Ovis aries: one gene and its partners. The protein of the gene in region 1 purifies or fractionates together with the protein of each later gene. This does not show direct contact. Links are inferred from orthologs where the notes say so. Each region holds a gene or a part of one and is shown in the gene's direction. Other genes may lie near its edges.

Region 1 (4,241 bases):
AGGTGCAAGCGGAAAAACACCAACTACCTTCTGGTGCGTAGAGGCTCTAAGGGTGAGGAGCAGACAGAGTTACTGCAGCGACTCCACCAGCCGCGCGAACCTCCAACCAGTTTTCCCGCCAACAAGGATAGGCGCGAGGCCACTCGCAAGCTCCACCTCCTCCGGCGGCGTGCTCGCAGGGCTAATGCGCATGCGCAATTGGAGGCCGTTTCTGCCTTTGCGCAGCAGTCATCGCCGCCATCTTCCAACCGAATACCCTATAAAACTACAAATCCCATAATCCCCGTTGGCCTCGCTTTTTTTTTTTTAGGTGGCAGCCGTAGCGCCTGATGTTTCAAGACGCACATCTTCCTTTTACTGACTTCTTTCTCTGCCCCAGACTGCCTTTTCCGTCCTCTTTTCGTGCCCTCATTCGCATTCTTCTTAGTATCCTTCATCCCCTTATTTTGTTATTTTATTTGAGATCTATCCTTAACCCCATTCTCGCCTCTTCCACCCTTTTCTCAGCCACAGGACCCGCACCCCAAGCGCTGTTGGCAAGGAAATCAAGCCACCAAACAAACACCCAGTGGAAAGGCTGTCCAGTAGCTTCCTCCCCATAGGCTAAGGCAGGGAGCCCCCAAAGCGGACCGAAATCTCTTCCTCGCCCACATTCGTTTTTATATAAGGCGGCTCGGAGCCGCAGCGTGTGCTCGGGAAAGCCTGTGTACGGAGTGGGGGGCGGGGGGGGCGGCGGTGCTGGGTGTACTGCTATTGGCAGCTGTAGTGGGCGTCGGATAGCTTGTCTCCGGGCTGGGGGGGCTCGTGCGCTGGCGTCGGGTGGTGGGCGGAGGCATTGGTGCGGGAGGTGGGTGTGGAGGCGGAGAGGGCGTGGTGTCCCCAGGTGATCGCGATCGGGGAGCGAGAGAACGACTCGGCTGTTTAGGGGGAAGAGGAAGTTAAGACAACATCGCCTGTTTTAGTGCTTTTTTTTTCTTTTTCCAGTTCAGCAGAGACTGTTTTCCAGGGGGGGATGAGTTAAAATGATCTATCGTGTTATACTGAGAACAGTTCGTAGGAAGACGGTCAGTATGCTCCGCTCCTTCCCCTCCTCTCCTTTTTAGGTGCACCCCTCCGCTCCCTCGGAAGCCTTTCTAAATAGGTGGGCACCGGGGCGGGGGGGGGGGGGGGCAACTGGGTCATGAATAATTCATACGGACCGCCCCGCCCATTAGCCACGGCCCTCCGAATCGTGCTGACGCATGTTGCGTGTTCCAAACCCTAGGAAGTAACGTAACAGTCCCCGCCCCTAGCACGGAGGGCGGGGCGTCATCTCCAGCACGTGCTGCATCTACCCGCGCAAGCCCAAAAGGGTGTGCGCAGGCGCTGCTCGCTAGGGGGAGGAAGGAGGCGGGGTGGGGAGGTTGCTGGGTTTAGAGCCGGGCGGAGACCGCTGAGACTCATTCCTCAGGAACAAGGGTCGGGTGTCAAGGAGACCTTTTCACACCAGCTCCCCGTCCCCCGCCTACGGTGGGTGGGATCGCGCGGCAGAGACAAAAGGATATCAGTAGGGACGGACATAGCTGCGAAGGGAAGTAGGGTGTCAGTTTGGGGTGGTGGGCTTCTGCGGGTGGGGGGCGGGCTGAGAAGGGCTGTATTTAAACTCCCGGAGCCGTTAAGTTGGTTCGTACTCCGATGCGCGCGCAATCAGGGTGGTGGCGGAGTGCGCATGCGTGATTCCAGGGAGAGAGGAACGCGCCCCAGCCGTGCGCGCTCGCGCCGGAGCGGTAGTGGTAGAGGAGAAAGGGGTCGGCGCACGCGCGGTTGAGTCCTCGAGTTGTTCGGGTCTCGCGGGCATCTTGTTTTGGTCTCGCGGGCGAGTGGGGCGAGCTTTCCGGGGAGGTGCTTGGGCGCGAGACCAGGGGAGACGAGCAGCACTGCGCGCGCACTCGGGGAAGGAGGCGGGGGGAAGGGAGCGTGGTCTAGGAAGGGGGGTTAAGCCCCCGGTGCCCCCCTGGTTGCCCTCGACTGGAACGGAATAAGGGGAGGAAATGATCGAGATGGCGGCGGAGAAGGAGCCGTTTCTGGTGCCGGCCCCACCGCCGCCGCTCAAAGATGAGTCGGGCGGAGGGGGCGGCCCCACGGTGCAACCGCACCGAGAGGCCGCCTCCGGGGAGCTCCGCGGCGGGACGCAGCGTGCGCCGGGCCCGCGCGCTCACTCGGCGGGATCCCCGGCCTCTATGGCCGGCAAGGAGAGCCCCGGGGCTGCATCCACCCCTCGAGGCGGTCAGTCGCAGCAGCAGCAACGAGGGGGCGGCCCCCAGGCGCAGTCACTCGGGGAGGCCTGCTTGTCGGATCCGCACGGGCGAGCCGCTCCCCCGGACGTGGGGGAGGAGCGACGGGGAGGAGGCGGAACAGAACTGGGCCCCCCTGCTCCTCCTCGACCCCGGAATGGCTATCAGCCCCACCGGCCCCCAGGGGGAGGTGGGGGCAAGAGGAGAAATAGCTGTCATGTAGGGGGAGGTGGTGGAGGCTTCAAACATCCGGCCTTCAAGAGACGCAGGCGGGTTAATTCGGACTGTGACTCTGTCTTACCCTCCAACTTCCTCCTCGGGGGCAATATCTTTGATCCCCTGAACCTGAATAGTCTCCTGGATGAGGAAGTGAGCCGTGCACTCAATGCGGAGACCCCTAAGTCATCCCCGCTTCCGGCCAAGGGGCGAGATCCAGTGGAGATCCTCATCCCCAAAGATATTACAGACCCTCTCAGTCTCAATACTTGCACTGATGAGGCCCAAGTTGTCCTTGCTTCGCCACTCAAGACTGGTCGGAAACGGCATAGACACCGGGGACAGCACCACCACCAGCAGCAGCAGGCAACGGGAGGGAATGATAGCCACTCCGCGCTGCCCACAGCCCCCCTCACTTCCTCACTCCACGGGGAGGGCACCACGCAGCAGCATGGGGGCCAGAACCGGGACGCCCCCCAACCCTATGAACTCAACACAGCCATCAACTGCAGGGATGAGGTCGTGTCTCCCCTTCCATCTGCCCTCCAGGGTCCCTCAGGCTCCCTTTCAGCCCCTCCAGCTGCCTCAGTTACCTCTGCACCCCCGTCTTCCTCCTCACGACATCGCAAACGACGCAGGACTTCCAGCAAGTCAGAGGCAGGAGCTCGGGGTGGAGGCCAGGGTTCCAAGGAAAAGGGCAGAGGGACTGGGGGAGGGCGCCACCACCTCCAGCCACTACCTGCCGCAACCTTCAAAAAGCAACAGTGCAAGTTCCAGTATGGGAATTATTGCAAGTACTATGGGTACCGCAATCCTTCCTGTGAGGATGGGCGCCTTCGGGTATTGAAGCCTGAGTGGTTTCGGGGTCGGGACGTCCTCGATCTGGGCTGCAATGTGGGCCACCTGACCCTGAGCATTGCCTGTAAGTGGGGCCCATCCCGCATGGTGGGCCTGGATATCGATGCCCAGCTCATCCACTCAGCCCGCCAGAACATCCGACACTACCTGTCTGAAGAACTGCGTCTGCCACCCCAGACTTCTGAGGGGAGCCCAGGAGCAGAGAGTGAGGAAGGGACCTCAGCCATCCGAAAAAGGAGCTACTTCCCAGCCTCGCTGACAGCCAGCCGTGGTCCCATCGCTGCACCCCAAGTGCCCTTGGATGGAGCCGACACAGCGGTCTTCCCCAACAACGTTGTCTTCGTCACGGTAAGAGGGTCCCCAGGCTCCTGGGAATAGGGGTCAGGCATGAAGATGAGAGTGAATGAGAACATGGCAGGGAGGGTTATGACCCAGAGGGTTCCTGTGCATGCACCCCTCCCTGGAGAAGCCAGGTGCTCAAGAGAATGGTCTGAATCTGCAATTGATTCCATTTTGGTGTATCTGCCCTCCTATAACCTGGAAAGGCAGGGGCTGTACCTGGAGTCCTTACTCATGACGAGCCCCAGGATAGGGGCAGGTTCCTTTTGCTCTGCTCCTGGGCAGTATTGTAATCTAGACCCATCCACTTTCCTTTGGGGGCTGCTGCTCATAATCACTGGGGGATGTGGTCCAGATGAAAACTTGTCCTCCGGCCTTCTGTAGGTGCCTGAAGGGATGGGTGTCCAACATTCAATGTCTTGGGATGGGGCGGAGGATTAGGGTAGTGGCTGGCTAATTATGTTCTGTCCGTTGATAGGGACCTCATTTGTGTCACACACAGAGTTGATTGTCAGTGGCCAGGAACCCAAGCGACTTCGCCTTAGATCATCACCA
Region 2 (3,500 bases), on another chromosome or scaffold:
AGGGAGACCTGGCTTGCTGCAGTCCATGGGGTCCCAAAGAGTTGGGCACGACTGAGCGACTGAAGTGAACTGTCAACTGAAGCCTTATTTTGTAAGAAAGCCTCTGACTTTCCAGCATAAGATACGTTCCTTCAATATGAACTTCAGAAAACTGTGTATTTTCCTTCATGTAATTTTTTAAAAACCACATTCACTTGTCTGATTGATTAATGTTTTTCTTTGCTACCCAATTGCAAAGTACCAAGTCTGTTATTAATACTTTAACATTCAAAGTCTTAGCAAAGTTTTTGGTACAAGGTAGGTGCTCAGTAAATGATTTGTTGAATGTTGATGGATAAATACATCATTCTTTCAACATACAAAATTCTGAACACATGATATGAACTAAGCAATAGGTAAAAATAATGGGGTTTAAAAAAAGTTTCTTTTATGTTCCTCACAGAAGTTTGCCTGATGGATTATAAAAAGCTTAAAAAGCTTGAGAGCCTATTTAGTACTAATTTATTTTAATTATGCCCCAAACCCTCTAAAATAGCACTTGGGGATATAGGAGGTTAATGGATTTTAGCTCTTCACAAGGGGCACTCTTGCTGAAATCACATTTATTCTAATTAGGGTTTTATATAAATTCCTACCCCAGACTCCATTAGTTTGCTCTAATTCTATAGTTATACACTTTCCATTTTTATTTATCATTGGAAGGATTATTACCTATTTAAAAATGTCATTCAGCTTTCTGAGGGGATTAGAATGTTAGAATGCAAGTCTTCTGGTCTTAAGAATTGAGAAACTTGATTTTTTTGGCAGAGGGCAGGTCTTTCACCTTTATTACCCTGATGACACCTGATCTTTGGACAGCTGAAGGGAGATGTCCTTTTTCTTTTCACTTTTAAATGAAATTGAAGTACGAAGAGAGGGGCTGTTATGTGAGACCCAAGGGCCTGGGATCTGCTCTGAGTTGGGTTTTTTTTTTCCTACAGAGCTGGAAGTGCTACTTAAATTTCCTTAATATCCTTATTTGAGTGACTATCTTTCCAGAATGACTAGCAGGGTCTACATAATTGTGGATTCTGAGAGGGGCTTGAGTACCTTTTACCAGTCCTTCCCTTACCACCTCTCACATCCCCCAGAGATGTTTGCCCAGTAGCATCAGGGCCAGGATGTTGTTAGTAAACATGACAATAAATGTAGCATCACTGTGACTGTCAAAAGATCGTAAATGTTCCAGCCATCAGTCACTGTCGTGTCTTTTACTCTCCTGTTCTGAGTACTTAATGAGGAAGCAGTAAGAGGACCCTCGCTTTCCTCTGAGTTAGGCATTACTCTGGCCTCTAGTTCTTCCTGCCAAATCCTTCTAAGGCTAGACTGGCACCAAAATGTGGTCCTGGAAAGTGGGCTGACTACTGTGAGCCTCTGAGAAAAACACCGGCTTTTCTTCTCTTGAATATACTCTTTAGGATCTCATTGGCCAAGATCAGTGAGTGGCAATTATTTGTGGTTAGTATATGCTTGTCCAATCTATGGTTAGAGGTTCTACATGCAAGTTTAGGACCAAACCCTAATTGTCAGAGATATTTGCCTGGAGCATTTGCTTTTGAAGGTCTCCTTTGAAACTGTGGTGGGACCAGTTTATGACTGATGTTTTGGACCTGGATCAAATGTTTTTCCATGCTTCCACATCTGAGAAATAAATCCTTTTTACTTCTGGTTTCCTTCAAGTAACAACTTACAGATAGATATGTGGGAAATTGGGTGATTTAATATTATAAAAATCTTATACTCTCTGTATTTTTTCCTGCTTCTGTAGAGTGGGATATGTACGTTGATCTTTGTAAGATATTCCTGTGCTGTTTTAACAAATTACGTTGATTTCTTTCAAGAAAATTAAGTTTCATAAGAAATTTAAAATGAAGACTTTTTATAAATTGTTTTGACAGTTTTCAGTTAGTCAGTCTTGTATTTCTTGATCACCAGCCATACTTCATTTTACATACAGCATACAATGAGTGCGGGAAGGTTTCTCTCCTTTAGGAAATTTGAAACTAATTATGATGTAAGACTAACATACATGAAACCAGTAGCTGCAATGTGTGCATAATCAGTACCAGCTTGTTGTTTTAAGCTGTTAAGGCTGTAAGGATTCTAAGAAAAGAAGAATGGTGTTTTTGCTGATTGGTCTCACCTTCTGCTCAGGTGTGTGCAATGTGTTTTGAATTCTTATTTCACTAGGTACTGGGGCATCCTGCATCTATCCTTTACTTGGAACAACCTTAAACGGCTGGTATTTCCTTGCAACAGAAGTAGATGATATGTGCTTCAACTACGCAAAGAAGAATGTGGAGCAGAATAACTTATCTGATCTTATAAAAGGTTAGCTCTGCACAATCAATATTCCTTTCAAGTTTTGTTTGTTAACCTGTTTTTCTAATTTAACACATCCCATTATCTTTTGCTTTAACATACAAGCTTTGGTAATTTTTAAAAATTTGGTACAGTTGTAATTGGGTTTGCTGCTTTCTTATCAGAATCAACTCAGAAATAGAGTGAACGCAGCTGACCCTCATACTTTGTAGGTTCTGTGTTGTGACTTTGCCTCCTTGCTAAAGTTTGCTTACCTGTGTCTATTTTTAGCCCCCAAATCAATACTTGTGGTACTTTTGTGGTCATTCACAGACATGTGCAAAATGGGAAAAAATTGGAATCACCCGGTGTGTGTGTTCCCTGCTGTCTTTTCTTTTTCTTTTCCCTGCTGTCTCCTTTCAGCTCACACACTGTAAACAAGTGTTCTTTTCATGGTCTGCTTACTACCACTTTTGTTGTTGTTGCAATTCTGTGCTTTTTCTTGGTGATTTTGCTGTTTTTAATGGCCCCTAAACATAGTACTTGAGTACTAGTGTTCCTAAGTACAAGAAGGCTGTGATGTGCCTAACAGAAAATACGTGTGTCAGATAAATTTTCTTCAGACATATTATAGTCCTTTGGCCATGAGTTCAGTGTTGAGTCAGTAATGCATGTTAAATAAGGTGTCTTTAAACAGAGATACATAAAATAGGATATGTATTGATTGGGTGATGAAAATGTGATCAGAGGCTTGAAGCTACCTAACCTTGTATTTCTCTTAGGAGTCAGTGGTTCAGTAGGCACTAATTCAGTGTTTGTGGTGACTTTACTGCTAATGAGAACGAACTGTATATGAAGTAACCTAGTTACCAAGACTTTAAAAGGAAGAAAATCCTGCTGTTGATTAAACTGTACCATCTTTTTAATTTCAGTACATGGAACTGTGCTACAGATAGTCAAATCTCCTTTGTGCTAAGTCAGTCAGTCATTTCCAACTCTGCGACCCCACCAACTAGTCTGCCAGGCTCCATAGGATTATCCTGACCAAAATATTGGAGTGGGTTGCCATTTCCTCCCTCAGGAGATCTTCCGACCCAGGGGTCGAACCCTTGTCTCCTGTGTTTGCTGTATTGCAGGCAGATTCTTAACCACTGAGCCAC
Region 3 (4,248 bases), on another chromosome or scaffold:
TCTGTGGAAATACTTTATTGCTTTTGAAGAAGAGACAACTTCATTTACCTGATGTCTGTTGTATATGTTATGTATAAATACTAGGAGGTGCTGAACTAGAATCTGAGGGTAATTTTGAGTTGGAAAAACAATATAATTTCCCCAACCACCTTTTTCCACTTTGATAATAGGTGGATTATAGAAACAGGTAAGCAGCATAAATATTCTGTTCTCTAAGCCCAGGTTTTAACCTGAGCCATCTAGTTAGCTTTAACTCTGGTGTGATCCCAGAGGCCCACCATGAATAACAAACACACTCCTATCACTGGTTAAACTCAAAGGATTAGAGATGACCTCCTAGGAACCATGGACAAAGTCCAGCCTAATTCTTTATGTTGTTGTTCAGTTGCTTAGTCATGTCCCACTCTTTGTGACCCCATGAACTGCAGTTAAAAGTCTTAATTTAAAAGTATAGAAATAGTGGAAAACCATTTATCACAGTCCCATTTTCAATTCTAGCTGTTACTGAATATTTTCATACATATGTACTTATCAGCTGCTTGCTAGTGCAGGAAGTAAGAGAAATGGGTTCCATCCCTGGGAAGATCCCTTGAAGGAGGACACGGCAGCCCACTGCAGTATTCTTGCCTGGAGAATCCCATGAACAGAGGAGCCTGGCGGGCTAAGGTCCACAGGGTCACAAAAAATTGGATACAACTAAAGTGACTTAGCATGCAAGCACATACTTACAATGAGGGCAGTTTTTTGGCTGGTGATTTATTTATGCTTGTCTTGTTAGCCAGCAAACTGTGTAATTTACTGTATCTCTTATTCTCAGGATCAGATTTACAGCCAGATAGAGTCTTACTTATAGGTAGGAATATGTTGAGTATTTTTCTAGAATTCCCTGATAACTAAAGGATGGTAGATTTACATAGTCTGAGAGCCTAAGTAGCTTGGAGGTTCTTTGTTTCAGTTAGTAACTTCCAGTCAGCATAAATAACTATCTTAAAATGTCTCATTGGAAATGCCTTAACCAATACCCTACCTCCTTAGGGGTTAAAGAGTTGTTTCCAGATTAGAAATGGTTATTATACTCTTGGTTCTTTTATAGGGCATTTTAAACCAAAAGAGCTCTTTCTTTTTTCCTTTAAGTTCCTTGGTAATATCACCAAAGAGGGTAAGTATCCCTCAGTTCTTGTACATTCCTATGTGCAGAGAGCCTCCTCTTTTATAATTTGTTCATAATGTAGTGGTATGCTCTGAACCTTGGAGTATTAAATTTAAGGGTCTTTTCATGCTTGCATTGTTAACTATATAGGGAAATGTCTTTTCATTTATGTGTTCTGTGCTCTTGTCGTAGGTGTCACGTGTACCTGAGGCGATCTCAGCAGCAGCAAGTACCTGTGGTGGATTTCCAGGCAGAACTGAGACAGGCATTCTTAGCTGAGACACCAAGAGGTGGTTAAAGCAGTATTGGAACACCAAGGTAGCTGATTTCAAGAGAAAAATAAAAACAGGTTATAGCTGATGAAATCATGATCAGGATTAAACAACTAATTAAAGGGTAGGATGTTTGGAGGTCATTTAATTATTTGGGATATATTCAATTTCTTTTCCTTAAAAGCATCATACAAATATAAACACATAGCAGAAAATTTTAAAAAGTAAAAGCAGTACCTTAATGCTCTCACCCTGAAAGACTTTTGTCATGAGTTACTTTCTAGACAATGTAGTCTTTGCTTTTTAGGTAGTTTTATTCATATTTAACTTGTACTGCTTTTCACCTTAACGTAAGAGAAGTATTTCATTATAAATAGTTGCTGAATATCCTCCTAATATGTTTTAGAATTCCTTTCTGTGAGAACTTTATCTTTTCTGCTGATAGTTTGAAATGAAGTTTCAGTGATTTGCTTTTTGCAAAACAGATAGGACCATTTCCTTGGATATGCAGATGTGAAAATAAATCAAGGAATTTGAAATTAAGGTTCATGTTCTAAATTATATTATGAATTATTAGTCTTCAGTTGCCATGAGAAAGTATAGTGCCAGGTACACTTTCATCTGCATTAATTTTGTCAATTACATATAATTTATTTCTATTAAATTAGAAATACACATCACATCCATTAGCAGATGAGAAGCTAAATATTTTCCCAGGCTTATTTACTACTTATTTCTTGTTTTCTTTCCTCATGTTTTGTTACCCATTTGTTTGAGTCATCTGACAATGTAACAAAACTATTATTAACTTATGATTTGTCAGTATTATGTAGATTTATTTACAGTGTCTTTTTGTGTTAATTGCTTAGATTTTTAGAAAATTGCAATTAATTTTGATTAAATACTCTATTTTTCCTTTCTTAAGTTTAAGATTTGAATGACCTAAGTTCAAAGGGTTTAGTATGTACTTTTCAGAAACTAAGGAAAGAAGTTTATAGATGAGTTTTCTTCTAGATTTTCTTTATTTCTATTTCAGAGTATAACCCTGCAACTCAAATTAATTAGGCTTATGGCCATCATTTCAAACGGAAAAATCCTCCCCTACTGAATACTTTACCCAGCATTCTCCAGTAATTGCCTGGACTTGATTGCAAGACAGTAGAATTGATTTCAGGCAGTGGAATCTGATAATTGTCCTCAGCTGTCCCCCAGAGTAAGAACGTTTTTACATGAATAAGTGTGCATAATTGATTTTTTAACCAAGAATTTTTTGGCCCTTTAGTATAGTTTAGATACTCTTGCAAGTTCCTGTATAGTATTATTTAAATCATAATTATGATCTACAAGTAGAGTAATCTAATTTTCTAAGTTTTAAGTGCTAGTTTCATCTAAATAGTACTAGTTACTAGAATTATTTTACAGCAAGATTGATAAAGTATCTGACTCATTTATTGCCTGTTTTTATAAATAAAATTTTGTTAGCACAGAGCCATATCCATTTATTTACATAAGGCCTGTGGATATTATTGACAGTACAGTGGCAGGTGGGAGCATTCATGACAGATTGAATGCCAGGCAAGACCTACAATATTTATTGTCTTTCCTTTTAAAAGAAAAAGTCTGCTAGTCTCTTAGAGAACCACTTTCAAAGATGAAAACATAAGGTGGAGCCAGTAGGGGAGTGTTGGTGCTATAGAATGTGGTAAAGGGAAAGGTATTACAAGGAGAGTAGATGAAGTAAACATTACAGAGTAGAGAATCAGATGAATTTGGTGACAAGGGTCTTGTTAAAGTCTGCTGTACGTGTAAATGGGTAAAGACATTTAAACAATTGATATGTTTTCTTTTTCATTATAAAAATGTAAAGCATATGAGTGATAGCCAAGAAAAATGGGAAAGTAAACCACAGATTTTAAATAGCCATGTTTCAACCATAGTGGCATTTTTTTTCTTTCATTTTACCCATTTGCTTTTCTTTTGAAAACATAGTTGTAATCATGTTTTTAAACTATTCTATTTATGTATATCATTAATGTTCCTTCATTTTATTACATAATCCTCAATATGATTTGTAATGAATAAATGATGGTCCCTTCATGATTTACTTTTTCTTTGTACTTGTGTTTCTTTCCCCCTAGTTTGCTATGCTGTTACGAATATTCTGCATTTTTAAGATAGTGTATATTAGGTATTTTAAATTTATTAGGATGAGGATTCAGTTTGGGTATGCAACGTATAAAAATTAGTAATTTATAAAATGTTTTGTTATGTTGCTTTCTAATAACACAATAAGCAGTATTGATTACCATCAAGAATAATTCAGTTCAGTTGCTCAGTCACGTCTTGATACTTTGCGACCCCGTGGATTGCAGCACACTAGGCTTACCTGTCCGTCACTAACTTCCGGAGTCCACTCAAACTCATGATTATTAGAGTCAGTAATGCCATCCAGCCATCTCATCCTCTGTCGTCCCCGTCTCCTCCTGCCTTCAATCTTTCCCAGCATCAGGGTCTTTTCTAATAAGTCAGTTCTTCGCATCAGGTGGCCAAAGTATTGGAGTTTCAGCTTCAGTGTCAGTCCTTCCACTGAATATTCAGGACTGATTTCCTTTAGGATTGACTGGTGGATCTCCTTGCAGTCCAAGGGACTCTCAAGAGTCTTTTCCAACACCACAGTTCAAAAGTTCAAGAATAATTACTACAGTGATAATTTCTTAGTACCACCTTTGATGTCTCTTTTTTCCCCTTTGATAAACACTTTCCAAAATGGAAAAATTGTTTTCCTCTGGTTTAAGTGGCATTGCTTTGTGGATTAATAGTTTCCAC
Region 4 (4,093 bases), on another chromosome or scaffold:
AAATATTATGAGGAAACCTACTGAATGTTTTCTATGTGCCCAGTACTACTACAACTGTTTGTAACTTATCAAATCACTTAATCCTTTTCAGAACCTAAATCGTATGTACTGCATACCATTTAGGAGAAGGCAATGGCACTCCACTCCAGTACTCTTGCCTGGAAAATTCCATGGATGGAGGAGCCTGGTAGGCTGCAGTGCATGGGGTCACAAAGAGTCGGACACGACTGAGCGACTTCACTTTCACTTTTCACTCATGCATTGGAGAAGGAAATGGCAACCCACTCCAGTGTTCTTGCCTGGAGAATCCCAGGGACGGCGGAGCCTGGTGGGCTGCGGTCTATGGGGTCGCACAGAGTCGGACACGACTGAAGCGACTTAGCAGCAGCAGCATACCATTTATAACAGGTACAGGGAAGTTAAGTATCTTGCCTAGGAACAAACAGCCCTCAAGCTTGGAGCGGGGATATAGCTTGACAGTGGACAGGAATTTAAAAATCTGCATGCGCAGGATGGTAGTGGAAGTTTTCCACACGGAAGGAGCAGTTTTAGTTCATCCGGTCATACAATGGGGTTAAGATAGTACCACTTTTCCGGGTTGTTCCGATTGAATAAGAGTCAGCGATGTGGTAAGCACTAAATTATTAATAAAATGAAATTATTAATTTATTTTATTCCTTTAAATTGGTTCAGCGTGGCGAATCATTAGTGTCTTCGAGGATTTAGCTACGCGTTGAAGCTTTTCAAGTGGGTAATTTATACTGCTACCAACGAATTCAAGAGCTTCCGGTGGCTTTATGTTACGATATACGATAGGGCTACTCGCTTTGATTACTTTTTTCAGTTTTTGATACTCTTACCCATTTTCTCTGTCAAGTTCTCTATCTGCCTCATTTTGTACAGCCACCTCCGTCACAAGCGAAATTCTCCGAGAAACCGCCACGCGGCGCGAGGGCGGGAGCCTCACCCACCCACAGCCTTTGCCTCGCCCCCTCGGTCAGGGCGCGAAGGCTCAAAATAGTTCTCGCGAGAGGAGACTTTTTTTTTTTTTAACGAGAACTCCTAACCCCACCTTGCCTTTCCAGGGTCACATGACTGGCGCCTGCGTCCTAGAACCAAGGTTTTTCTGATCGCCTACTGGCTGTTAACTCGGCTGCAGGCTGACCAGGGGTCCATTCCGGAAGTAGATCCTTTACTTCCTCCCCGGAAGCGTGTCACAACCTAGCCGTCCGGCCTTTGCGGAAGTTCGTCACGTCGCAGTTGCCCCCGCACAGCGGATGTGTGTCGCCGCTTAGGTGACGCCGAGAAGTGCTTGCAGCCGCCGCCGCTGCCTTCTGGTTGAAGCACTATGGAGGGAGAGAGGAAGAACAACAATAAACGGTGGTATTTTACTCGAGAACAACTGGAAAATAGCCCGTCTCGTCGTTTTGGCTTAGATCCAGATAAAGAACTTTCTAATCGCCAGCAGGCGGCCAATCTGCTCCAGGACATGGGCCAACGTCTTAACGTGTATCCTTGCGGCCTAGGCCTTTCGGCCTTGAAGTCGGTCCCGCCCTGCTCTGCTTCCAGTCTTCAAGGTCTGTTAGACAAGAAGGGAGGAGGGTGGGCAGGGACTGGGTGTCTAGTTAGGAGAGCCTACGATGGGCAAAACTTAAGTGTTCGCGAGAGGGAAGCGAGGCGGAGTTAATTTCCCGCTCGCTCACCGGTGCCACCAGCCTTAGTGGGAATGAGTTTCCTTCCCGCTTTGTATTTTAAAGTAGTAGTAGTCCCATTTCGGTGTGTTGTGATCTCCTGTTCTGGTGACTTTGAGATTCTGCTTTTCTGTTATGCCCAAAGTGTCTAGTGGAGGTTTCACTGTTGATGGCTGCCTTAAACTTACTGTGTACAGAGAGTTTTGAGAAATTTCAGTACCTGAGGGTCTTATTAAAAGGGTGGCTTAGAATTAATACCCTAGCTTTGGCTTAAAATCCGTTCCTTCCACTTACTGCTTGTTGGAGACTGGTTTATAAAATGGGATGATACCTCTTGAATTTGATTTCTATGCCTAGCACAATATTGGGCACTTATATGTTCAAAAAGTAGTTACTGTTAAGAGTTTTACAGTATTTCAGAGGAAGGAACGATGTCAGTTTAGTTTGTAGGCAAGTAGACTTACAGATCTAATGTTCTGAAAAATCTTTTATAAAATACTGGGGTTTTAAGTTACTCAAAGTGCTAATGTGTATTCGTTTTTCTCATATTTAAAAGATTTAGTGGGGTTTTTTTCCCCTTTAAGTGTTTTGGTCAGAAAACCTACTCATTTTGTAGCAGACAAAGCTGTAGAGTTTTGAAGTTCTTTCCACTTAGGAAGTAAAAAATTTGTTTTTGGGCGCAACTACCATTTAAATGTGTTGCTGGCTGTATGTTTCTTTCTTAAGGTTGTCCTCACTTGAAAAAAGGTGTCTTTGGTGCCCATATTCAGTGTGTTTCCTAAGCATCCAGTCCGTACTGAGTTAAAATTTTTTAAAATCTGTTTTAGTGCATCCTAGTAGTTTCCTTGTGTGTGTATTACTGTGGTACTGTCTCATCTCTGTGTGCTCAGTCGTGTTCCACTCTTTGCGGCCCCATAGACTGTAGCCTGGCAGGCTCCTCTGCCCATAAAAATTTCCAGGCTAGAATACTGGCTGCTAAGTCGCTTCAGTCGTGTCCGAGTCTGTGCGACCCCGTGGACTGCAGCCTACGAGGCTCCTCCGTCCATGGGATTTTCCAGGCAAGAGTACTGGAGTGGGTTGCCAATACTGGAGAGGGGTGCTATTTCTTACGGGGAGGGTGGAGGCGGAGAATTTTCCTGACCCAGGGGTTGTTCCTGTGTCTATTGCGTCTTCTGCAGTAGTAAACAGGTGGTTTCTTTACCACTAGGGCCACCTGGGAAGCCCCCATCTGTGTATATCCCACATTGTTTTCTGAGGTCTTTTTAAGTAAGGCATTCAGAAATTTCCCTTTTCAAGAGAACCCTTGGACAGTGTTGGTGGTAGTGTATATTGGTGCAGTCATTGTGGAAAACCAAATAGAGGTTTCTCAAAAAGCTAAAAATTGAATTACTATATGACCCAGCAATTCCACACCTAGGTATATAAAACAAAGACACTCATTTGGAAAGATATGAGCACTCAGTTTGTTCATAGGAGCATTGCTTATAGTTGCCACGATATGGTAGCAAACTGAATGTTCATGGACAGATGAATGAATAAAGAATAGGTGGTATATATAGACAATGGAATACTATTTAGCTATAAAAAAGTATGAAGTAATGCCGTTTACAGCAATGTGGATGGACCTAGAGGTTATCATACTCAGTGAAACAGTCAGAAAGAAAAAGACAAATGTATATTATTTACATGTGGAACCTAAGGAATACAACTGGTGGAAACAAAAGGTAGACTCAGAGCTAGAGAACAAACTAATGGTTAGCAGTGGGGAGCGGTGAGGGGGCAATGTAAGGGTGGGAGTGCGAGGTACAAACTACTGGGTGTGAGGTAGACTACAAGGATGTATTTTATATTTTACAACAAGAGGAATATAACTGTAGAAATTGGAAATGGAGCATAATCTTTAAAAAGTGTGTTAAAAATTAAAGTCGGAATTTTTCTTTTCAATGAATATCAAATAATTCATTAAATACCAAAGTGTTTCTGGTCCCAGGGATCACCTTATGAGAAGGTTTGGTTGCCAGAGGGAAGTAGAACTGAAAAGTTAATTGCTGGAGCTTAGAAGATGAGATTAGTGGAAACATTCCTAGGAGGAAATCAGTCCTGAATGTTCATTAAAAGGACTGGTGCTGAAGCTGAAACTCCAATACTTTGGCCACCTGATGTGAAGAACTGACTCATTTGAAAAGACCGTGATGCTGGGAAAGATTGAAGGCAGGAGGAGAAGGGGACGACAGAGGATGAGATGGGTGGATGGCATCACTGACTCAGTGGACATGAGTGTGAGCAAGCTCTGGGAGATGGTAAAAGACAGGGAAGCCTGGCGACACAACTGAGCAGCAGCCTAGGGGGCAGATCGGGGAGGGCTTGAGAAGATGAGATAAGCAGAAGCATACCTAGAGGAC
Region 5 (4,203 bases), on another chromosome or scaffold:
GACGGCCCGCTCCAGCCGCCGCCATCTTGAGGGCTTGCGCCTGCGCAGGTGGAGCGCGCGGCCGAGGGGAGGGGCGCGTGCGCGAGTCGGCTCCCTGCTGGGAGCGCGCACCCTCTAAAGTACCGGCGACCTTGCGCCTGCGCCCTCCCGCTGCGTTCACGTGTCCCCGTTTTGTTCCCGCGGCGCGGAGCCTAAAGGTTTGAAATCGTTCGAGGGCTGGTCCACCGAGCTGGGTTCTGAATCTTGAGGATCCTTGAGCAGGAAATCAGGACCCAGCTTTGCGTTGACAAAGCCCCACCGCCTATTTCGGCGCAGAGGCTCAACCAGTCCACCCTTCTTGGCTCTATTTTGCAGCTTAGGAATTTGAGGATCAGAACGGTTTAGTAACTTGCCCTAGGTTGCCCAGAGGGGCCCAGTTGGGATTCTGACTTGAACAGTCCTGAGTTAGAATCCCATTTCTGCTCCTAACTGGCTGTGTGCTGCTAAGTGAAACATAGTGTCATTGTAAACCTCGATCTTTTTTGTACTAATTCAAGGACAGTTCTTCATCCATTGAGCAAATCTTGTGTTGAGTATCTACTTTTTGTCAGGGTGCTTTGGGAAAACAACCCAAGACGACACAATTAAGCTTGCTACTGAGGGAGCAAGGCAATAAATAGACCCACCAAGGCTTTTCTACCACTAAAGTGAGAAGCTTAACTAAAGGAAAGAATACTTTGCTCTGATTTTAAAAATTGTATATGTTTATGTCTCTATTAAAAAGCAAACTGGCACAGATTAAATCACAAGATATAGCAATGAAGAGATTCTAAGTAAATATTTATTAATGTAATTTATTGATACTGGTTTGCAGAATATGATCCTATAAAATCAAAACTCACGTGTATTTAAGTGCTAGGCGCCAGGCATTAGATAAAGAGAAGGAATCTCTGGGAAATGAGTTATTCTCATGAATGGTGCAATCGATCCTTCCCTGAGGACTTAAGACTTTTTTGCGCGTTTGAGGCTCAGTTGCTGGGGAGACTGACTCACGCGCCAGGTCAGACTAGGTGGTAAGATATTTATTCCAAGAATCATTTTTGACCTTCTCAAGATGGCGCCAAACCCTTAACTACAACCATCACGCTCACTCAGTGGCTGCCTCTATGGCTTCCACTTCCTGCCTAAGGACCCAACTGCTGTCCGACGTTGTGCCGAAACGCATGCCCTGTTGGTGAGCTTTTTTATTCGAACAAGAGCTACTGAAAGTATATAAAATAACATGAATCTCGTGTATTTCGAGATTTCCATGTCATCCGAGGCGCATAGTTTCTCTTCAGGTGGCAGACGGGCGGGATTTTGACCAGGCGCGCGCCGCGGGCAGCTCCAACTACTGCGGGTCTTTGGCGGCCAAGTGAGGACCCGGGAGTCTCTGGAAGTCCAAGATGGCGACGGCGGCCGCAGCATCGGCTTCTGAAGCGGAGGCTGAGCCCAAGGCCGGGCCCGAGGCCGAAGGAGAGGAGGATGAGGCTAAGGCGGCTCGGGCGAGGAGGAAGGTGTTATCGCGGGCCGTGGCCGCCGCGACGTACAAGACCATGGGGCCAGAGTGGGACCAGCAGGAGGAAGGCGTGAGTGAGAGCGATGGAGATGAGGAGTACGCCATGGCTTCCTCAGCCGAGAGCTCCCCTGGGGAGTACGAGTGGGGGTACGACGAAGAGGAGAAGAATCAGCTGGAGATAGAGCGGCTGGAGGAGCAGGTGGGCGCGGGCGTGGGCGGCGGCGGCGGGCTCTCTCCCTCGGGTTCCCAGGCCCCGGCCCACCTCCGTGGTCCTCGGAAGTAATATAAAGCGCCAAAGCCTCCAAATCGCAGTGTCCCAGCGCGTCTCCGGTCCTCGGAGCGCTTACTGCTCGCCAGGTGCTTCGCAAGTGTTATCCTATTGAACCCTCGCCAGAACCCGGCGAGGGAATTGCTGTATTTCCCGTTTTGTGGGAGGACCCTGAGGCTCCCGGTGGAGGGAATTCTCTTGTCACCATTACACTTAGTGCAAGTGGCGAGTCAGGCTTTGAACTTTGAATCGACTCCGCAACTCCCGCTCTTAGCCATACGGGTCAACTGTGTCCAGGCCTAGAAATAAGATTATTTTCCTCCAAGAAGAGTAGTTTGCTTGTAGGAATGACGAAGATAAGGAGCTCTGGCGTGGTAGGGAAAATAGTGACCGTGACGGTGATAATAGAAACGGAATAGCGTCTGGAGGCTAAGGCCCCAGTTCTAGCTCTTCCACACCCGTGTGTGCTGGGGCCAATATTATAACGTCTCTCATCCTCCACTCTGTAAACTGGGACAAACGGTTCCCGCCCAGAGAATTGTCCTAACGGTAATCAGGGCTCGGGGCCTGGCAATAGTAGCTATGTGATTTCTAATCTGTAACTTTAGAAGGTACAGGTGTTGGTGTCTCCTATGTAATCTAGGATCCCAGCAGGAAGTAGGTGGCACATTCAAGTTAGGAGAGTTTGGAATAAAGGTCCATAAAGAGACTGGGCCTCCCAGGTGGCTCAGTGGTGAAGAATCCGCCTGACAGTGCAGGAGAGATGGATCCAATCCTTGGGTCAGGAGGATCCTCTGGAGAAGGAAATGGCAACCCACTCCAGGATTCTTGGCTGAGCAATCCCATGGACAGAGGAGCCCGCCAGACTACTGTCCGTGGGGTCACAAAGAGTCGGACAAGACTGGGCACAGCACAGCAATGGAGAGACTGTTGAGTCTGGGGCAGGGAAGTCAGGAGCAAAGGTTTGGTTTCCCAGGGCTAGTAGTAGCAGGACCTTTAGGTGTCCACTTTAGTCCTGTAGAGGTGATGGAGTGACTGGTTTTCTAGATAGTTTGTGGAGAGGATCCCTGAGAGGAGTTGAGATGTTTGTTCCAGGGAGGTAGCCCCCGTTTCCCATCAGGAAGGAGGGTGGGCAAGAAGTACCCTGACCTACTTCAGTGCCTCGCTTCCACATGGCCTGTTGGGCAAATCCTGCTGGAACCCCGAGACCCAGAGACCCCATGGATGTGGTCCACATGGTGGGTCTCAGGACAGGGAGGGGAGAGAGTGGAGTAGTCTTGGAGGGGAAGAGATGGAGCTCCCATCTCATTTTACGGACGAGGACACAGAGTCTCAAAAGGACTGATGAAGTGTTTTGGTCAGAGTCAGGCCTAAGGGCATTTGAACTTTTCCAGGTTGTCTGTAGACCGAATGCCACAGTGGGTGTGAAATCAGTTAGTGATGTGGGGTTGGTAGCCTGGGTTTCTCAGTTAACTTGGCTGGGTGTGAGATTCCTTATAATGTCCTCTCTGGTGGTGACGTTCCTGCTAAGTTGTGAAATAGTTGTATCTTCTTTCGGTATATCTGTCTCATTTGTCATCCCGTCTGAACCAGCCAGGGGTAGGCCGGTGGTTACCCTTCCTGCCTTCTATAAACAAGCCTGCCGCAGTCCATTCATTCTCTTACTCATTTGGCAGTTGCAGTGTAATGTCAGGTGGCAGGCCGCCTGTGACCCTGTCCTGGTGGCAGTCTGTCTCTCTGGCCTTTGGCCTTTCAGTGAGCCCTTATCTTGCTTAGTTGGGGAAATAGAATTACCTGTTGAGGGGAAGGGGAGGCTCGGAAGCAGAGCGATTAAACCCTCAGTGAGGGTATTTTGCTTACTAAAGTGGAGGACGGGTCTGGGCAGAGGTGTCCTGGCCACTGGTGGTGTGTACTTGCCAACCCTACCTCAGGCCACCGCACAGGATGGGATCCGGCAGGTGATGGTGAACTGAAGAGCCTTTGGCTTTATCTTCTTCCTGGGGTCCAGAAATGGACTTTTCCAGTTTTCCCAAAACTCCCTCCCATGTCCTCTTAATCCCGGCCTCTAGTTCTTGCTGTAACGACTCTCCTGGTGGAGTGTGATGGTCAGTAACTTCCAGAGAGGCCCGCGAAGTGCTCGGCCTTGTCGTGTTTGAATTCCACTTCTGACCCCAAGTGTTTTTATGAAAGCTCACAGTCAGCTGTGAAATCTGTCCAGATAACAGAAGCGGAGATGTCCCGCTGTGTGTGTGGTCGTGGCTGAAACTAGGAGCGGCACCTCGTGGTCCCTTCCCGTGATTGGGCCGAGTGTGGTCCCACCAGGCGCCTCTGTCACCTCTCCGTGCAGGTCGTGCTGTCAGGGCGAGAGGAAACCTGTTGCAGAGCACTTGCACGATGG
Region 6 (4,031 bases), on another chromosome or scaffold:
CCCCATTTCAACTCTAAAATTACCCTTCTCACTACTGCCCTTAAGTTTCAGATAAAATGTTCCTAATTTAACCCGGCCTTCCTGTATAACCCAGCGTCTTCATTCTGGTCCTACATAACTACTTTAGTTGCATTTCCCCCAGACCCCCATCTCTTCCCTCTATGCCTTTGCATAAACCTCCATGTGCTTGAAGTCGGCTCTCTACCTTCTTCCCACGGCCACTCCCAAAACGCTTTGTGCGTTAGCAGCGCTGGGGTGTTTGGTATGTCGCATTTTGAATTTGTGCCTTCATCCCTAGACTGAGTTTAAGAAGGCTGCAACTGGCGAACTTGTCCATCCCCGGGAGAGAGCAGACGCTTTATAAAGAACGAAGGTGCAGGGCTTCATCTACTTCGTGTGGCAGCCTCAATTATGGCCGTTGTAAGAATAACATGCCTAGCTTGCTCAATAAACGTGAGTTGAAATTAAATCTTTTTTTGTGGCCAATACAAAAAGATGTGAATACTTAACAAGACAGTCCTCCTGTGCTTGGAAGGCAGGTCCCCATGGAGTACACCCCCGCCCTCCGCCCTCAATATTTTTAACAGGGGCTTCCTAATAGCTAGCGTGATCCCCCCCGCAGAGTGACTGGTTCGCCGTAAACCGACGCTCTTTGAATGGAGACGTTTAAGTATGTTCCAGAAACTCCCGGCTGTGCCGCGAGTACACGGCCATTGTAGAAAAGACGGCTCTATCTGCAGTAATGGTCTGAGGTCACAGGGACCATATTTGGAGCAGGGCGGGAGGGAGGCCTTCTCCACATGCAGCTATGGTGTCGTCGGGCCCCGTTCCAAGCCCCCAGGTCAGGCCGGGTAATCCCGGCGCAGGCATCTGGCCGTACCTTTCCTTCGGCCAGGACACAACCCTGGACCTGGAGCCGGCCCACCCCGGCTGCAGCCTCGTGAAAGTCACGTCCCCTCTTGCCCGTCCTCTCCGGTTCTCTATGGTTCTCGTGGTGACTCTACTCTAATTCTAGTTCCGGTCTCTATGGCGGCAGCAGAGGCAGGAACGGTTGTAGGTCGGCCGAATTAGCCGCCTAAAGGCCAATGAGAGTGGAGGAGTGAAAGACTATTAGCCAATAGAAACTAGGAGTTGTGGTCAGGTGGTGAGATTGACAACACTATTGACCAGTGAACGATGCTTAGGGCGGGTCGCTCGCAGGGCTTATCCCGCCCGTCCCGCCATTCTCGCTAGTTCGATCGGTAGCGGGAGCGGAGAGCGGACCCCAGAGAGCCCTGAGCAGCCCCACCGCCGCCGCCGGCCTAGTTACCATCACACCCCGGGAGGAGCCGCAGCTGCCGCAGCCGGCCCCAGTCACCATCACCGCAACTATGAGCAGCGAGGCCGAGACCCAGCAGCCGCCCGCCGCCCCCCCCGCCGCCCCCGCCCTCAGCGCTGCCGACACCAAGCCCGGCACGACGGGCAGCGGCGCAGGGAGCGGCGGCCCGGGCGGCCTCACATCGGCGGCGCCTGCCGGCGGGGACAAGAAGGTCATCGGTGAGAGCCGGACGTGGACGGGGGTGGGGCAAGTAGGGAAGTCTGGCGGCGGAACCGTTACCCGAAGCGGGGCGAGCCGGCGGGCGCGCGGCCGGCGGGGACCGTCTCGGCGGCGCGCGGCCGCCCCTCCCCCAGGCCCCCCCACTCGCGCCCTCGCGGACGCTGGCCCGCCCGGTCCGCGTGCCCGGCAAGCGCGCGCGCGCGCCGCCTCCCGCGCCCCCTGCGGACCCCGCGCGGCCGCGCGCCCCTCCCCCTGTGCGGCCGCGCGCCGCCGACCGCGTGTGCGGCGGGGTCCCTCCCCTCCGTGCCCGCCGGCCGCGTGCGCCCGGGCCCGCACGCCGTTGTTCCGTCCCCCACCCGCTCCCTTCCGCGTGTACCCTGAGGGCGCGGCGCGCCGCCTACGCAGGCCGGAGTGGGCCGGGCGGCTTCCCCCTTCTCACGTGCTCGCCGCCGCCCGCGGTCCCCGCGCACACCCAGCTCGGGCCCGCGCCCCGGGCCTGACCCGGGGCCTCTGCTGCGGTGGGTTCACCCACGTGGACCGTGCGGATGGCCGGCAGGCCCTGGGGAAAAAGGCTGTCAGGTGGCCATGGGTCTTTGCCAGGGAATGCGTGAGCCACCGGATGCTGAAGCGTGGCGGTTTTGAAAAAGGACGTCTAGTAATTGTGGGTTTTTTTTTCCTCTCTCCTTCAGCAACGAAGGTTTTGGGAACAGTAAAATGGTTCAATGTAAGAAACGGATATGGTTTCATCAACAGGTGAGATGACCGCCGCTGAAGCCCTGTCCTGCCTCTTGATTGCTCTCCTCCATCTGTAGGCTTTAGGAACTTGGGGTTGTTGGCGCTTGTGTAGGTTGCCATCCCTGGTGTAGGGCTAGTGGGGTTTTGTTTTCCTTGGTGACCGAAAGGATTAGGAGACGTAGAGATTGTCTTTGTTTTGTAGCTAAATGTTGATCTCTAGCTAACTTGAAAGATACAAAGCGATTTAAAAGGCAGGCGGAGTGAGTGAGCCATCTCTTACCAGGGCGAACTGAGAAAAAGCTAAGATCTGGTGTGATTTTGTTAGGCTTAGACACCTCGCATTTTTATCCGTCATTCTTTTCTATGTTACTGAAATTGGTATTTGAAATTGTGAGCCGCTGTTTACTATGTAGGTTATTTACAACTTTTTAACCTTTGGAGGTAACGTGCTTTGACAATGCAAGTATGTCATTTTGACTAAGGTCTTATTGCCTTATTCCTCCTACTTCCTTGTCCCCCCAAATCGTACCTGTTAAATCTTTGGTTGTAGCTTACAGTGACCTTAGTCCACGATTACATTCGTCTTTGTATTTGAAGGCAGAGCTGCAAACTGCATCTTAAGGATTAACCCTTTGAGTTGTTTGTAGCAGTGGGATGGTGACGGCAGTTCGCTCACAGTGCTCTTCGTGGTCCCTGTCAGCCGGGCATCTTTTCCAAGATGGCTGCCCGGGCTGGTGGTGCAGCTACAGGGTGTAGAGCAGTGTGCGTGCTGACAGCAGTGTTGGCCTTACAGGTGTGATGCGGTCATCGCAGCGTTGTATTTCTTAACACCCCTATTACGCTGGATGTTTGAAAGAACTTCAAGAGTAAGAAGTAATACCGAATGTTTCTGAAATGGACTCTACTGAGGGAAACCAAGTGGGCAAGATCAAGCCTAGACACACAATTGGCTGGCAAAAACCCACTAGTTACTCAAACGCTCAGAAAGCAAAAGAGATTGTAAGCATTTGACGGTCTGTTTTCCACGTTTGCAGTTGAGGAAACATTTTGTTTCTTCCAAAATCTTTAGGAATTTTCCATCTGTTCTTACACTGCCTTGGGACAGGCCAAGGCCACATTTTCTCATCAGTTTTTTGATAATGGGTTACTAGTGAGGAAGGCAGGGACTGCTTTGATGCCAGTGTTTGACCACTTTTTAGGTGATCTCTGAATTTGTTAGTATTTCAGTCTTACTCTGATTTTACTTTGGCCTCACCCTTAAACCAGTGGTTTTCGAATTTGTGTGCTTACCTTGAAAGGATAAAAGTACACATTCCTGAGTTCTTTCTTAGCTTAGATTCATTGGGTCTGAAGTACATTTTTAAGGAGAATTCCAGGTGATAATAGCCTGTAAGCCTTAGTTTGAGAAACACTGCTTTTGACCTTTGACCCAGTGTGGCGATAGGCTATCACAGGTGTGCCTATTAGGAGTGATCTATAATTTGCAGCCTTTTAAGTAATTTGTGTGTGTGTTTTAAAGATTGTGGTATATATGTGCCTTCTGTTCTGCTGCATTTGTTAAATGGATCTAGATTATATTTGTAGGTGAACAATTGATAATCCAAGATAAAAGCAGTTCTTCGGGTTCTAAGTTTATTCTGTGAGATAACCATTCCTTTATCCATCTAACTTGTAATCAACTCTTTTGATCATCAGATAGGGCAAGTTAAATGTAAGTTGGCTTTTAATGATCCTTTGTTTGGATTGTCTTAACCACAGT
Region 7 (2,380 bases), on another chromosome or scaffold:
TTTGCAGCTGCATGTAGCCCGCCAGGCTCCTCTGTCTATGGGATTCTCCAGGCAAGAATACTGAAGTGGATAGCCATTCCTTTCTCCAGGGGATCTTCCCCACCCAGGGACTGAACCCGGGTTTCCTGCATTGGTGGGCAGGTTCTTTACCATCTGAGCCACCAGGGAAGCACCCATGACTTAGTACAGCAGGGATACTAAGGCAGACATGTGGACTCCTTTGTTGGACAACTTTGGCTCAAGGTCTTGCAGAAGTTTCCTTAGACTGCCTGGTAGTCTCAACTGCTTCCATACATCCTTTTCTCTTCTTTCCCTCCTTACCAGTCAGGCTTCACTCACAGCTCCTTCTCTATTTTCTTTTTTTTTAAATATAAATTTATTTATTTTAATTGGAGGTTAATTACTTTCATACAGTCATTTCTCCTAATAAAATCTTGCCGTGTTTAATCTTGTTTTGACAAGAGCTTCTTGGAGGTGTAGAATAACATAAGTAGAGTGGGTATTTGAGATTCAGGAAACAGTGTTTACTTCCTAGGCCTAGATCTGAGTCACATGACTTGGTAAGAAAACCCAAAGCTGTGAGACTTCAAGAAAACTTAATGTTTGGTAGCTGTATATGCATGACCAGGTTATCAGGAATAATAAAGTCAAAAGGGGTGAGGAGGAAGATGCTGGGGCACTGGCTGCAAGCCCTGTCGTTGCCTTCTGCCATCCAAAAGCTGGGGAAAGATCTCTGAGTGTCTTGGGGAAGCTAGTATTTTCATTCGGCACCATCTTACGTGGCTGGCTCTGGTTTGTCGGCCTGGCTCCAGATGTCATTCTTTTCCTCCATGATTACCAAGTGGTTGCTACATCATCACGTGAGAAAATACTGGGTAACGCAGTAGAGAATTTGGGATCCAGGCTTTACTTCTTTCCTAAAGATGATCTCATTTGGTCAAGGTCTGTCTTCCAACTTCCAAAAATCTCATTTTTCTTGGTTTCAGCTTTTCCACAAGTTCTTTGCTATGTCTTTTGTCTTTGTAAACATGAAATGTTTTATTTTCTTCACTCAATTAAAATGCGTTTTGTGGGGACTTCCCTGGTGGTCCAGTGGTTAAGAAAGACTTCACCTTCCATTGCAGGGAATATGGGTTAGATCCCTGGTCAGGGAGCTAAGATCCCACATGCCTTGTAGCCAAAAAAACATAAAACAGAAGCAATATTTTAACAAATAAAGACTTTAAAAACGGTCCACATTAAAAACAAAACTTAAGAGGGTTTGAAAGATGGCGGACGACGTGGACCAGCAACAAACCACCAACACTGTGGAAGAGCCCTTGGATCTCATCCGGCTCAGCCTGGACGAGCGCATCTACGTGAAGATGAGAAACGACAGAGAACTTCGAGGCCGGTTACACGCTTATGATCAACATTTAAATATGATATTGGGAGATGTGGAAGAAACTGTGACAACTATAGAAATTGATGAAGAAACATATGAAGAAATATATAAATCAACAAAACGGAATATTCCGATGCTCTTTGTGCGGGGAGACGGCGTTGTGCTGGTTGCCCCGCCATTGAGAGTTGGCTGAAACGAGAATCCGCCGCCTGTGGGAGACGGGCTGTGCTGTGCGGTGGCCTCTTTGAGTGTGGAAGATGTTCCAAAGAGAGACCGATGTGCATCTTGATGCTGAAAATAAGCAAGAATTCTTCCACTCCTGAAATAAGTTGATTTGTAGATAACTCACAAATACTTCAGCTAAACGGCATTTTTATTTTTCTCCAACCCTTCCAATAAATGTGATCGGCGCGATACAGAAAAAAAAAAATAAATAAAAAAATAAAAAATAAAAAAAATAAAAAAAAATAAAAAATAAAAACAAAACTTAAAAAAATATTCATATGTTTTCAGCTCTTCCTTTCTTTTGAATTCTTTTTTTTTTTTTTTTTGGTGGGGAGAAGTACAGTTGCTTTACAATGTTGTGTTAGTTTCTGCTGTACAACAAAGTGAATCAGCTATATAGCTCTCTTCTTTCCTTAATATTTATTTATTTGTTTGTTTGCCCTGGGTCTTAGCTATGGCACACAGGATCTTCAATTTTGTTGCGACATGTGGGTTCTTTTAGTTGTGACATGTAGGATCTAATTCCCTGAATGGGGATTGAACCCCAACCCCCTGCATTGGGAGCCATGTGTCTTAGCCACTGGACCACCCAAGAAGTCCCACAGCTCTCTTCTTGAAGAGGCAGGTGTGTGTTCTGAAAAGAATGGGAATGGAGATGGAATCTCGACTCTACCACTTCCTACATGTGAGACTTCGTGGAAGTTAATTTTATGAGCCTTGATTTTCTTGTTTATAAAATGTAGATAACACCACCTACCTCCCAGGATAGTT

Evidence for each region.
Region 2: the proteins of MEPCE (region 1) and METTL16 purify together in Homo sapiens (affinity purification with mass spectrometry; 3 studies listed by BioGRID). This does not show direct contact. The link is inferred for Ovis aries from reciprocal best matches to the Homo sapiens genes MEPCE and METTL16.
Region 3: the proteins of MEPCE (region 1) and SNRPN purify together in Homo sapiens (affinity purification with mass spectrometry; 3 studies listed by BioGRID and IntAct, counting the BioPlex papers as one, with this or other methods). This does not show direct contact. The link is inferred for Ovis aries from reciprocal best matches to the Homo sapiens genes MEPCE and SNRPN.
Region 4: the proteins of MEPCE (region 1) and CCNT1 purify together in Homo sapiens (affinity purification with mass spectrometry; 3 studies listed by BioGRID and IntAct, with this or other methods). This does not show direct contact. The link is inferred for Ovis aries from reciprocal best matches to the Homo sapiens genes MEPCE and CCNT1.
Region 5: the proteins of MEPCE (region 1) and SART3 purify together in Homo sapiens (affinity purification with mass spectrometry; 6 studies listed by BioGRID and IntAct, counting the BioPlex papers as one, with this or other methods). This does not show direct contact. The link is inferred for Ovis aries from reciprocal best matches to the Homo sapiens genes MEPCE and SART3.
Region 6: the proteins of MEPCE (region 1) and YBX1 purify together in Homo sapiens (affinity purification with mass spectrometry; 3 studies listed by BioGRID and IntAct, with this or other methods). This does not show direct contact. The link is inferred for Ovis aries from reciprocal best matches to the Homo sapiens genes MEPCE and YBX1.
Region 7: the proteins of MEPCE (region 1) and U6 snRNA-associated Sm-like protein LSm3 purify together in Homo sapiens (affinity purification with mass spectrometry; 3 studies listed by BioGRID and IntAct, with this or other methods). This does not show direct contact. The link is inferred for Ovis aries from reciprocal best matches to the Homo sapiens genes MEPCE and LSM3.

What each region holds. Positions count from the first base shown.
Region 1 is NC_056077.1:36,542,249-36,546,489, reverse strand, and holds the start of MEPCE (7SK snRNA methylphosphate capping enzyme), read left to right. Parts: upstream 1-1,441; 5' UTR 1,442-2,030; coding exon 2,031-3,695; intron 3,696-4,241. UniProt on the Homo sapiens protein: S-adenosyl-L-methionine-dependent methyltransferase that adds a methylphosphate cap at the 5'-end of 7SK snRNA (7SK RNA), leading to stabilize it.
Region 2 is NC_056064.1:23,304,368-23,307,867, reverse strand, and holds part of METTL16 (RNA N6-adenosine-methyltransferase METTL16), read left to right. Parts: intron 1-2,229; coding exon 2,230-2,370; intron 2,371-3,500. UniProt on the Homo sapiens protein: RNA N6-methyltransferase that methylates adenosine residues at the N(6) position of a subset of RNAs and is involved in S-adenosyl-L-methionine homeostasis by regulating expression of MAT2A transcripts.
Region 3 is NC_056071.1:1,222,484-1,226,731, forward strand, and holds the start of SNRPN (small nuclear ribonucleoprotein-associated protein N), read left to right. Parts: upstream 1-1,448; 5' UTR 1,449-1,468; exon of another isoform or gene 1,469-4,248. Other genes in the region: SNURF (SNRPN upstream reading frame protein), read left to right, coding at 1,343-1,448.
Region 4 is NC_056056.1:137,457,545-137,461,637, forward strand, and holds the start of CCNT1 (cyclin-T1), read left to right. Parts: upstream 1-1,293; 5' UTR 1,294-1,348; coding exon 1,349-1,509; intron 1,510-4,093. UniProt on the Homo sapiens protein: Regulatory subunit of the cyclin-dependent kinase pair (CDK9/cyclin-T1) complex, also called positive transcription elongation factor B (P-TEFb), which facilitates the transition from abortive to productive elongation by phosphorylating the CTD (C-terminal domain) of the large subunit of RNA polymerase II (RNA Pol II).
Region 5 is NC_056070.1:64,531,259-64,535,461, forward strand, and holds the start of SART3 (squamous cell carcinoma antigen recognized by T-cells 3), read left to right. Parts: upstream 1-1,403; 5' UTR 1,404-1,424; coding exon 1,425-1,736; intron 1,737-4,203. Other genes in the region: iron-sulfur cluster assembly enzyme ISCU, read right to left, coding at 1-25. UniProt on the Homo sapiens protein: U6 snRNP-binding protein that functions as a recycling factor of the splicing machinery. Promotes the initial reassembly of U4 and U6 snRNPs following their ejection from the spliceosome during its maturation.
Region 6 is NC_056054.1:17,183,077-17,187,107, forward strand, and holds the start of YBX1 (Y-box-binding protein 1), read left to right. Parts: upstream 1-1,231; 5' UTR 1,232-1,370; coding exon 1,371-1,536; intron 1,537-1,791; exon of another isoform or gene 1,792-2,082; coding exon of another isoform or gene 2,083-2,116; intron 2,117-2,226; coding exon 2,227-2,290; intron 2,291-4,031. UniProt on the Homo sapiens protein: DNA- and RNA-binding protein involved in various processes, such as translational repression, RNA stabilization, mRNA splicing, DNA repair and transcription regulation.
Region 7 is NC_056080.1:116,710,702-116,713,081, forward strand, and holds U6 snRNA-associated Sm-like protein LSm3, read left to right. Parts: upstream 1-1,255; 5' UTR 1,256-1,268; coding exon 1,269-1,577; 3' UTR 1,578-1,880; downstream 1,881-2,380. UniProt on the Homo sapiens protein: Plays a role in pre-mRNA splicing as component of the U4/U6-U5 tri-snRNP complex that is involved in spliceosome assembly, and as component of the precatalytic spliceosome (spliceosome B complex).